Linked DNA regions of Macaca fascicularis. The protein of the gene in region 1 interacts with the protein of each later gene in a biochemical or structural test. Links are inferred from orthologs where the notes say so. Each region holds a gene or a part of one and is shown in the gene's direction. Other genes may lie near its edges.

Region 1 (3,745 bases):
CGGACGTGTTCTCAACTTTGCCAAGATAAACTTTATACATTAATCGAGACTTGTCTCTTACTTTCGGGGTTCACAAAACTATGTACCCGTTACACTTTCTAAAACCTACAGTCAGTGTGGGAGAAGAACTGCTGATACTCGAATACGTCAAATAGTTACAAAACGGCCAAAAACTGTTGTTTTCTCTCAAACTTTTGGTAAAATGTGCTTCAGGGAAAACACAGGTAAGTGGTTCTGATAAAATCTTAATAAGGACATAATTTTAAAAAGCAATAATGGTAAAAATAAATCCCATTTATTATCTGGTATGTCCCCGGCATTGTGCTAACACAGATAGCTCTACTACCCATGTCAGAGCAACTGAGGCAGATACTACGCTCCTTTTTCAGGTAAAGAGATGGAGGCTCAGAGAGGTTAAAGAGCTCAACTCAAAGGCACACAGCCAGTACATGGCAGTACGTCTCTCCTCCTGGGGCCGCCGTCTCGGTGATACTATTTAGGGCCACACGTCCCACTCTTCAGCATTCGTATTTACGTACCACTGTTTGGCAAGCGGGGACTCCTGAAGCTCTCTGACCCTGAAATGTGTGGCTTGCGTCACAGAGAAGCGGTTTTAGAACGCGCTCGCAGCAGGACACCGCGGTGTGTGCAAGCGGAGGGCCGCCCTGTCCTTGAGCCTTTTGGCCGAGACTAGGAGGGCAGAGGAAGCAGGAAGGTGGGATTTGTTTCAAAAGGGCGCGGGAAGGGGACGCTCCACACCGCCTCGCCTCTTAGTGTCCCCGGTCCCGTCACCTGAAATGTACGGGAACAACTGCCACGCGCACCCCACACCTCGCCGGCTGCGGCCTGGCGCGCGCTCCTCATCTACTTCCCCGCAGGGCTGGGCGGGAATCCGGCGAGGGGGCGGGCCCCGCGAGCGCCCGCCCCCTTTTCTCTCCCCGCCTCCTTCCCGCTCTGCATCCCGCCCAGCGGCGCAGGGGGCCGGGCTCCGGCGAGAGGGGTGGGGGCCGCGCCGGTGACAGCCGCTCCCCTCCCCTGCTGCCCGCCACGTCCCTCACGTACCACTCGGCAGAGGCGCGGGGAAACGTGGCGCCCGGGCTCTGGCTTCTCTAGCGGGGCTCGGCATGAGGCTGGCGCGGCTGCTTCGCGGAGCTGCCTTGCCCGTCCCGGGCCCGGGGCTGCGCGCCGCCGGCCCCAGCCGCTCCTTCAGCTCGGACTCGGGCTCCGGCCCGGCGCCCGAGCGCGGCGTTCCGGGCCAGGTGGACTTCTACGCGCGCTTCTCACCGTCCCCGCTCTCCATGAAGCAGTTCCTGGACTTCGGTGAGTGCGGCCCGGACTTCGGGCCTTTGTGCGCGGTCCCAGGCGGGGAGCTGCGGCCCCTGCTCCAGGCCCGGTCGGTGCCGGCCAGCTCTCGCCTGAGGCGCAGCCCTCCTCCTCAGTGTTTCCGCCCCCAGCGCCTTAGGTGCTTCCTTCCTCCAAGTGCCGGCGCTGGCTGACGGCGTAAATAACGGTGGGCGTGTGGCTTTGATCGTATTGTTGAAAACAAACCAGCTGGGCCGCGCGGAATGACCTCCCGCCTTCCGGCGCACGTGTGCAGGTGCGCGCTCGGCCAGGCCCCTTCCGAGGAGGCGCGCCCGCGTGGGAGGCCGAGCGTGGACACCCCCGAGGATCGCTTTTGGATTCCGCGCAGTGATGATGAATGCCCAGTTTTGCATATGCTGATTGCATAGAAATGGCGTGATGATAGGCAAGGCAGGTTATAACTGGCCCAGAGTTTCTTAGAATGTTTTCCTTGCCAGTAGCATAAATTGTTTGCACCAACAGCGCATTTCATCATCAGCAAGTAAGTCTTGAGCACGTGTTGAGTGCATGAGGACAGGATGCTGTGAAGTTTACCAGATTATCCTTGTTTTCTCGATAAGCTGTTAAACAGATTGCAGAAGGAATTGCATAGTTAGGCATTTTAACTTTTACTTCCCACTTACCTATCAAGGCAATGAGGGGAAAAGGGAAAACCTTAATGAATTCATAAAATTTGAGTACAAAGGTTATCTTCTGCATTGTGACTTCTGCATTGAATGATACCTGCATGGTTGACAACTTTGTCTTAAAACTGTGGTTTATAGTCGCATAATTTTTGGGTCAAAGCCTTAGGTTTTTGTTTTTACTTTAAAATGACACTAGTTCGACGTAGGGGCGAATTTGGTGGTGGTCATAAGTATGCCATGAAACTTTCACAAGCTGTTTTCCTTTAATAACTTAATTTCTACTATTGACAGTCTAGTTTTTGCTAACGTTTTCTCTGCTAAAGCAGCAAGAATAGTAAGCTTAAAATGCATTACTGGAATAGCAAGACCTTTTAGTTTAATATTAAGTGGAGCTGTTTGCCAAAGGACATTCTACAACGATTCTGCTTAGGAAGTGATATGGGATCGTGATATGGGAGTGGAGGGGTCAGGAGACTTTCCAGTAACCAGACAATTGAATAGGACCTACTTGAAGATGGTGCTAACAGGCAGTGGTGGTTTTTGCTTTCTGTTGCTTGAAAGCTTTCCTCTGCACTTACTCTTTTTTCCCGTGTGTGTGTGTGTGTGTGTGTGTATTTTTTAAAACTAGAAATGGGGTCTCGCTATGTTGTCCAGGCTGGTCTCAAACTCCTGGGCTCAAGCCATCCTCCCAGCTTGGCCTCCCAAAGTGATTATAGGTGTGAGCCACCACACCTGGACTCCACTTACTCTTTGCTTACTGTAATTAGCATTTGTGGTTCTATATGGAATCAGTGAATCTTCATATGCAAACATCAAAATTTTACTCTTTTCTTTTTGATTGAGACAGGGTTTTACTCTGTCACCCAGGCTGGAGTGCAGTGGTGCTATCATAGGTCACTATAACCTCACTTTTCTGCCTGAGCTTCCCAAGGCTAGAATTACAGGCAAGCACAACCACGCCCAGCTGTTTTTTATTTTTTATAAATACGAGGTCTCATTGTGTTGCCCAGGCTGGTCTTGAACCCCTGCGCTCAAACAGTCCTCAAGCCTCGGCCTCGCAAAGTGCTGGGATTATAGGCATGAATCACTGTGCCTGGCCCCCTGTTTTTAATTTATTTTTTTAAGGCTAGTCAAGTGAAACAGTGGGAGTGGAGAAGGAACAAAGAAATCTGTAACTGGTCGTAATCAATTAGTCGTAAATACCACTGCATTCAGACCACCTTAAAGTTTCTGTTTCTTAGACATTAACTCTTTTTAAAACTAGAGTTAAAAAACAGATTTTCTAAATGATAGCAGCAACAGGGTGTACAGGCTAGACTTTTCCAGGTTCTGCTGTTAATTTTATAAAGCCTTGCTCAGAAATGCTCAGTTTACCTCACTTCTAAAATGGGTCATCACTATAAGGATACAAGTTAGGGAGACAAGGTTATCGTAATTGCTGTACAGAGCCATTGGAATGTCAGTAATTGGAATGTCATAACTCTGGAGACTGGGTTATCTCATCCCTCACCTCCCACAGGCAGGGATACCTTTGCCTTCTATTCCTTGCCCCATCGTGGTGATTCTACCCCTCTGGCCTTGCCAGGTAACTGCCTCTCATTTCTCCCTGCCTCTTGCCTTCGGTTTCCTTATGGCTTTTACTTACTGCTTTACCCATCATGTTTGGTTTCAGGATCAGTGAATGCTTGTGAAAAGACCTCATTTATGTTTCTTCGGCAAGAGTTGCCTGTCAGACTGGCAAATATAATGAAAGAAAT
Region 2 (3,645 bases), on another chromosome or scaffold:
GCCTAGGATGGGGGACGGGTGGAGTGGGCTGTATGCAGCCCCCGAGCCTGCTCTGCTCTCACTGAGAGCCCCTGCCTGCCTGCTGCACCTGCAGGGGTCCTGTGGCTGGGGGAGGGGACCTGGGAGGTGAGGTGGAGCTGCGTGGCACGTATGTGCGTCTCTGTGCACACTCGGGGGTGTGCGTGTGAGATCCCAGGCCAGGGACAGGAGCCGGCGCCCAAGGGTGGCCGGACCACGCCTGCCCGGCAGCCCACTGGCAGGGGCATGGAGGGCTCAGTGGAGTGGGTGGGGTCCCCTGATGAGTGCTCTTGGGCTTGGGGCAGATTCTGGGCCCTAGACCCTCCTCCCCAGATGGGCAACTGGGTGTTGGCCATCCTCCAGGGGTGTCAGGCACCTGTGAGTGGGCTGTGGCTGTCCCCTCCCCGGTCCACCCCAGACCAGACAACAGCCTCTCCCCACACTCAGGCCCTGCTGGGTGGACTGTGGCTGTCCCCTCCCCGGTCCACCCCAGACCGGACAACAGCCTGTCCCCACACTCAGGCCCTGCTGGGTGGAGTGTCCCCACCCCCACCAGCATCCCCCCAGCAGCCCTGGCTTGGGCAGAGTGAGGGCTGGTCCTGTGGAGACCACACCCCATGGTGCTGGTGGGAAGGGCATCGGGTAGCTGGGACTGGGGCAGGAGGGAGAGGTCACCTGGCCGGGGGGTGGCCATTTGTCGAGCCTTGGTGACTCACCTCTGAAAGAGCTCGCCCGTGGCTCCCTGGAAAGTAGAATGCCTTGCCCGCTGGGATGCCCACGCCCTGTGTCCTCTGAGCTCCCCTGGGGCTGCTGCCCTGCTGGGACTTCCCTGTGCACCAGGGAGGGCTGGACACGTCTGGGCTCACCATGCAGACCCAGCAGGACCAGGTGGTGGGTGGTCTGGTGATGGGACAATTGCTTGTCCCCCACATCCCTACAGGTGTCCCGGTCAGGGGCTCAGTGTGGCAGGAAAACCCAGGCCCCAGAGCTCAGGGACCCCAACCCCTTACCCTGGCCCCCACCCCAACCCCTGCCCAGTGGCCCCTCAGATGAAGCAGTTGCCTAATTAGTAAGTTCCCTGTTGTTCAAACTCCTTGCTCGGCAAAATGTAAGTGGAACATTTTTTTCCAAGTGTCAGTATGAAAAATGGTAGTTGCTGGGCTATCACCGAGGACAGCTGCTCTGATTCTGAAGTGTGAACGCCCGCGCATGGCTGATGCTGCAAAACTTGAGGGAAAACATTCCCGTGTACCTGAGTGACCCATGGGTGGAACACAGCAGGGCCGACGACGGCAGGGCCTGAGTGTGGGTCTCAGCCTGGGGACTTGACAGCCTCTGTGCCCCGGGGCCCCTGCCCAGCTGGCTGGGCCACCTCCGTGTCTGGCTTCACTGGCAGTCCCCAGGACTGTGCTCCAGGCCCCTAGACAGGGAGTGCTGTCCCACGGCAGTGGGGCAGTCCTGTCCCGCAAGCCCGGCCCTCAGTCTGAGTGATGCTGATCTCTCACTGCTGACGCCATGCTCCATCCTCTTGGTGGGTAGCAGGGGTCGGGGGGCGGCCCTGCTGGACAGCCCACACATGCCACTGTCAGCTGCTGTCGCCACCTGGCCAACCCTGGTTGATTGGGGAATGCTCTCAGCCCTGCAGCCCCTGTGGCCATAGCTGGTGCCGGAGCTGCTGCTGGTGCCTGCTGGGGACTGGCTGGTTTGGTGCTGCCTCTTCCAGGAAGGCTGTGCAGATTGGCCCAGACCTCTTCCCAGCCTCCTGTCAATGGTACTCCATCCCCTGCGTCCAGCTGGCCCAGCCCGTTTTCACACACAGATAGGGGTGGCTCTTCTGAGAGGGGCGCTGTGGTGGGGCGAGTCTGCCTTCCCACTGACCCAGGGCTGTTTCTGTCGCTTGCCCTAAGAAACAGCTCCCCCACTGCGCCTGCCCCCCGGGACTCAGGCGTCCCAGGCACATCTGTCCTGGCACACCAGTTGCTACCTGGCTGCCTGGCGAGGGTCTGACGGGTAGAGTGTGCATGGCCCTCACCACCTGCACGTCCGTAGGGGAGTACATCAAGACCTGGCGACCACGCTACTTCCTCCTCAAGAATGATGGCACTTTCATTGGCTATAAGGAGCGGCCGCAGGACGTGGACCAACGTGAGGCCCCCCTCAACAACTTCTCTGTGGCACGTAAGTGTCCCCTCAGCCTTTCGGGATTCAGATTTGGGGTTGGCTGGAGCCCTCTTTGCCCACCAGGCCCCCCGATGGGGGTGCCCTGGAGCCTCCATGTTCTGGGCCAGCAAGCAACAAGCACGGGTTGGGTGGGGGTCTCTGGGCTGAGTCCCGAGGCTGGCTGGGCAGGGGTCTCCAGGCTGAGTCCCAAAGCCGAGGCTGACTGGGTGGGGGTCTCCAGGCTGAGTCCTAAGGCTGAGGCTGGCTAGGCGGGGGTCTCTGGGCCGAGTCCCGAGGCCGAGGCTGGCTGGGCAGGGGTCTCTGAGCTGAGTCCTGAGGCTGGCTAGGCGGGGGTCTCTGGGCCGAGTCCCAATGCTGGCTGACTGTGGAGCAGTTCCCTGGTGCCCATGCTCTGGAGGCTGGAGGGTCCAGACAAGTGGTAGCAGAGCCTAGCCTCAGGGTGGACAGCTGACCCGGGGGCCCCTCCTCCAAGCGGGGCAGATAGAGCCCACCTGGGTCTCTAGCTCTGAAGCCTCCATCACTCGAGGAAGAGCTCATGCCTCTGCCCGCACAGGCGCTCGGTCCCCAAACCCCGTGGTGGAACCTTTGCTTCCCTCTGTGAGGCTGCAGGCTGGAAGCCTCCTTGCCCACGAAGGGGCGGGTGCAGAAAGGCCAGCGGGGGACCTTGGCCAGAGCATCCCACAGAGATGAGAGACGTGACACTCCCTGCTTCGCCCTGCTGTGGCTTTATTTCCTACCTGTAGCGGGGGCAGGTGCGACCCTACCCATGTTAGACGGGAACCCTGGCATGGAGACCCAGGCGCCCTGCTAGGTGGGAGGCTGGGGGCACATGGGCCTCCCAGCATGGTCCCCATTTTCTGTGTCCCTGTCCTGGAGCCCAGCTCTGCCCGTGGCAGCCAAAGGTGTGATTGAGTAGCTAAGTAGGACCCAGTTGTGGGCCATCTGTATGTGGCAGGGCTGCGTAACTTGCCCCACGCCCTCCCCAGTGTCTCCTTGGTTGGGGCTGGCGGCTTCAGGGATCAGGGAGAGGCTGGATACTCGCTGTGTGCCTGGTGGCACCTGGGACAGGGCCTTGCTGGGGACGGGTGCTGTGGGTGTGCTCGCCAGGCCGAGGCATCAGGAAGGAAGGAAGAGGGGAGCTCTCTGGGGAGGCACACGGGTGGGTACCAGCTGGGGTGGTGCCTGAGCAGCCGGCAAGGCTGGGGCCTTCAGATGAGGCCATAGGTGGGTGGTCTGGAGTGCCTGGCCAAGGAGCAGAGCTGGGCAGGGGCCAGGAGCTTTTCTCCGGGGAAGGGTTCCGGGGCAGTGGGCTCGAGACCCTGGCCCTGGGGATTGCATATTAGGGCAGATCAGACCATCCAGGAGCAAGTGGGAGGTGGGTGTGCCGGGGCTTCACACTGGTTTCCACTTCTCTGGCCTGTGTTGACACAGGCCACCCTCCCCACC
Region 3 (3,645 bases), on another chromosome or scaffold:
TTGTATTTTTTGGAGAGACGGGGTCTCACTGTGTTGCCCAGGCTGGTCTCAAACTTCTGGGCTCAAGTGGTCTGCCCACCTTAGCCTCCCAAGGTGCTAGGATTATAGGCGTGAGCCACTGTGCCTGGCTGAAGCCAGTATTTTAGAATTAAAAAGTAGAATGCCAAAACCTGCTATGAAGCTTAGGCTAAAGAATTCATTCACACATAACATTGCCAGTTTTCTGTTCTCAGAGTTTTACTATTTTAAAACTTTCTGGCACTGTGATCACCTGTACTGTATATAATTTGGAGAGAAAGGATTAGTTTGTTTTTTGTTTTGTGGGCTTATGTCAAGGGTTATAGAATCAAATACCTATAAGGGCCAGCCAGGTAGAATAAATGAGTGAAGAAGGCTAGGTATACAAAACAGAATGGTGACAGGGACTCGTGCTGAACTGGGACCAGCATGCCCTACCCAGAGGAATGCCATGACTTGGTTCCAGCCAGTTGGTGCCATGTGGAAATCAGGGGTAATGCTTCCTGTTTTCCATGTCTCCAAGAGAAGGCGGAAGTCTGGATTTTCATGTGAAATTCCCCAGTGTTTTAATGTTGACATCTGATGTAGGATTTGCTTTTAGGTCACCATACAGGAGAAAGGAAGGAAGTGGCCCATGTGTGGGTTGCCAGTTTATTGCTTCTGGCTTGGGCCGTCCGCTCTGTATTTTGGTGGAAAATAGCTACTTTCTCTGGTTATTAATGACAGGTTCTACTAGCCCAAATATTTCACTACGGTCTAGGAAACGTTTTTATTTAGAAACATGTATCGTATTGCTTCATAGTTTCTCCTTCCTCTAACAGGAAGCTTGCTGTGTGGGCCTGGAAGCCGGCATCAACCCCACAGACCATCTCATAACAGCCTACCGGGCTCATGGCTTTACCTTCACCCGGGGCCTTTCCGTCCGAGAAATTCTCGCAGAGCTTACAGGTTTGCTGTTGATTTACAGAAAGGGGAAATGAGTGGATTAAGTTTTTAAATATCTCTCATTAAGATGCTATTTTATGAGTTAATATTTAAAGTTTTAAGTTTCTTTTTTTAACCCTCTCTCCTTTGGTGCTCTGGTACTTCTGTTGTGCTCTTGAGTTAACTGACCATTTGTGAAGTTCTCTGGCCCCTCAGGTAAAAGTTTAAAACAGTTTAGTGCTATAAAATCACAGTAGATTTGGTTATCATTCAAGCATGCCAGCAGAAGTCTAGCAGTCATAAAAAAGTAAGTTGGGTTGAAGCTTGGTATGCGATGTAAATTCTAGAAATCTTCTTAATATTCCCCTTTTCTTTGTCCCCCTTGACTATTTTTTTGTTTTGGTTTTTTTTTTTGTTTTGTTTTGTTTTGTTTGAGACTGTGTCTCACTCTGTTGTCCAGGCTGGAATGCAGTGGTGTGATCTCAGCTCACTGCAACTGCCACCTCCCAGGTTCAAGCAATTCTCATGCCTTAGCCTCCCAGGTAGCTGGGACTACAGGCATGCACCACCACACCCGGCTAATTTTTGTATTTTTAGTAGAGATGGGGTTTCACCATGTTGGCCAGGCTGGTCTCCAACTCCTGACCTCAGGTGATCTATCTGCCTCGGCCTCCCAAAGTGTGCTGGGATTACAAGCATGAGCCACCACGCCTGGCCTGTTTTGTGTTTTTGAGACAGTCTTGCTTTGTTGCCCAGGCTAGAGTGCAGTGGCCTGCCTCAGCCTCCCAAAATGCTAGGATTACAGGTGTGGGCCACTGTGCCCAGCCCTTCTTCTTATATATATTTTTTTGTTTTGAAGACAGAGTTTCGCTCTTTTGCCCAGGCTGGAGTGGCTGGAGTGAAGTGTGATTTTGGCTCACTGCAACCTCCATCCCCCAGGTTCAAGCAATTCTCCTGTCTCAGCCTCCCGAGTAGCTAGGATTATAGGTGCCAAACCACCACAGCTGGCTAATTTTTGTATTTTTAGTAGAGACCAGGTTTCAGCATGTTGGCCAGGCTGGTCTCGAACTCTTGACCTCAGGTGATCTACCCACTTCGACCTCCCAAAGTGTTAGGATTACAGGCGTGAGCCACTGCACCCGGCCCTCCTTGACTCTTGAACTATGGTTGTCCCTCCATATATCCAGGGGATTGGTTCTAGGACCCTTGAATATACCAAAATCCTCAAATACTCAAGTCCTGAAGTCAGCCTTCCATATCTTCGGGTTTGCATCCTGAGAATATTGTATTTTCAATCCATGTGTGGCTGAAAAAAAAAATCTGTATAAGTGTACCCGTGCAGTTCAAACCCTGTTCAAGGATTGAATATATTTAGTGTACTAGTAGAGGAGAGGTCCTAAGATGTTGGTAACTGGTCAAAAAACCAAAAAAGTCTACGGTACCATCTGGACTTTTGCTAACATCTGAAGGAAACTAAGTGACTGGAGAGTAGGAAAAGCTGGAAAGGTTGAAGCACATGGAACTAGTAAAAGGACAAGCAGAAACGTGTTTGCCTGGAGAGACAGGTACTTAGATGACTGAATTGGCCTCTGCGTTCTAATGGTTGAGCCACTTGGGGTGTGGTTTGGTTTGCTTTGTAGAGTTGGTTTGTGCTGCACATGTGTATGTTCTGCCATTTCCAGGACGAAAAGGAGGTTGTGCTAAAGGGAAAGGAGGATCGATGCACATGTATGCCAAGAACTTCTACGGGGGCAATGGCATCGTGGGAGCGCAGGTAGTCAAGGACGAGGACTGTGTGCTGCTTTAGATTTGGCCCTGGCCTTTGTCTTCAAAAACTTTCCCAGCCCCAGACAACTTTTCGTGAAGTAGTATAGCCATGTGCTGCACAGTGACACTTTGGTCAATGTCGCATATATGATGGTGGACCCATAAACTTATAATAGAGCTGAAAAATTGCTGTCACCTAGTGATGTTGTAGTGGCACAACACATTACCTTTTCTATGTTTAGGTACGCAAATATTTTGCCTACAGGATTCAGTACAGTCACATGCTGTGCAGCGTTGTAGCCTAGGAGCAGTAGGCTCTACCATACAGCCTAGGTGTGCAGTAGGCTGTACCTTCTAGGTTTGTGCATTACAGTATGGTGTTCACACGACAAAATAGCTTAGTGATGCAATTCTGAGAATATATCCCTGTTGTTAAGCGATGCGTGACTGTATTTTGGGGGCTTGGTTTGCTTTTAAAAACCTAGTGCTTCATATCCTACCATTTGAGCGATGAGTTGAGTAGATTTGGATGGTGATTTATAATGTTTCCTTTTAGGTGTCTGCTATTTTATAAGTAAGCAAGAGCCTCTAGCAGTGGAGCCTACCTTCCCCTTCCTATTTGTATTTCAGTACATTGCCTTATCTTGTCAACTTCATTATGGAGTCCTTGTTCTCATCAGTTAGTGAATGATGAAGAATTAACAGCACAAAATTATATCCCAACTGTTTCTTTTCCTAGTATATTAAGATTCTATTATGTGTTTTTTTAAAAAACCTACTTTTTTTTCCCCCCTTTTTTCTTTTGAAATGGAGTCTTGCTAAGCCGCCCAGGCTGGAGCAGTGGTGTGATCTCAGCTCACTGCACCTCCACCCCCGGGTTCAAGCAATTCTCCTGCCTCAGCCTCCTAAGTAGCTGGGACTACAGTTAAGCGCCAC

What was found.
Region 2: of the proteins of PDK1 (region 1) and AKT1, one has a biochemical effect on the other in vitro, tested with the Homo sapiens proteins (3 studies listed by BioGRID and IntAct, with this or other methods). The link is inferred for Macaca fascicularis from reciprocal best matches to the Homo sapiens genes PDK1 and AKT1.
Region 3: the proteins of PDK1 (region 1) and PDHA1 form a complex in vitro, tested with the Homo sapiens proteins (2 studies listed by BioGRID, with this or other methods). The link is inferred for Macaca fascicularis from reciprocal best matches to the Homo sapiens genes PDK1 and PDHA1.

The regions. Positions count from the first base shown.
Region 1 is NC_088386.1:68,102,421-68,106,165, forward strand, and holds the start of PDK1 (pyruvate dehydrogenase (acetyl-transferring) kinase isozyme 1, mitochondrial), read left to right. Parts: upstream 1-993; 5' UTR 994-1,124; coding exon 1,125-1,320; exon of another isoform or gene 1,321-1,437; intron 1,438-1,464; exon of another isoform or gene 1,465-1,843; intron 1,844-3,660; coding exon 3,661-3,745. UniProt on the Homo sapiens protein: Kinase that plays a key role in regulation of glucose and fatty acid metabolism and homeostasis via phosphorylation of the pyruvate dehydrogenase subunits PDHA1 and PDHA2.
Region 2 is NC_088381.1:172,972,635-172,976,279, reverse strand, and holds part of AKT1 (RAC-alpha serine/threonine-protein kinase), read left to right. Parts: intron 1-2,067; coding exon 2,068-2,196; intron 2,197-3,645. UniProt on the Homo sapiens protein: AKT1 is one of 3 closely related serine/threonine-protein kinases (AKT1, AKT2 and AKT3) called the AKT kinase, and which regulate many processes including metabolism, proliferation, cell survival, growth and angiogenesis.
Region 3 is NC_088395.1:19,218,186-19,221,830, forward strand, and holds part of PDHA1 (pyruvate dehydrogenase E1 component subunit alpha, somatic form, mitochondrial), read left to right. Parts: intron 1-839; coding exon 840-966; intron 967-2,624; coding exon 2,625-2,716; intron 2,717-3,645. UniProt on the Homo sapiens protein: The pyruvate dehydrogenase complex catalyzes the overall conversion of pyruvate to acetyl-CoA and CO(2), and thereby links the glycolytic pathway to the tricarboxylic cycle.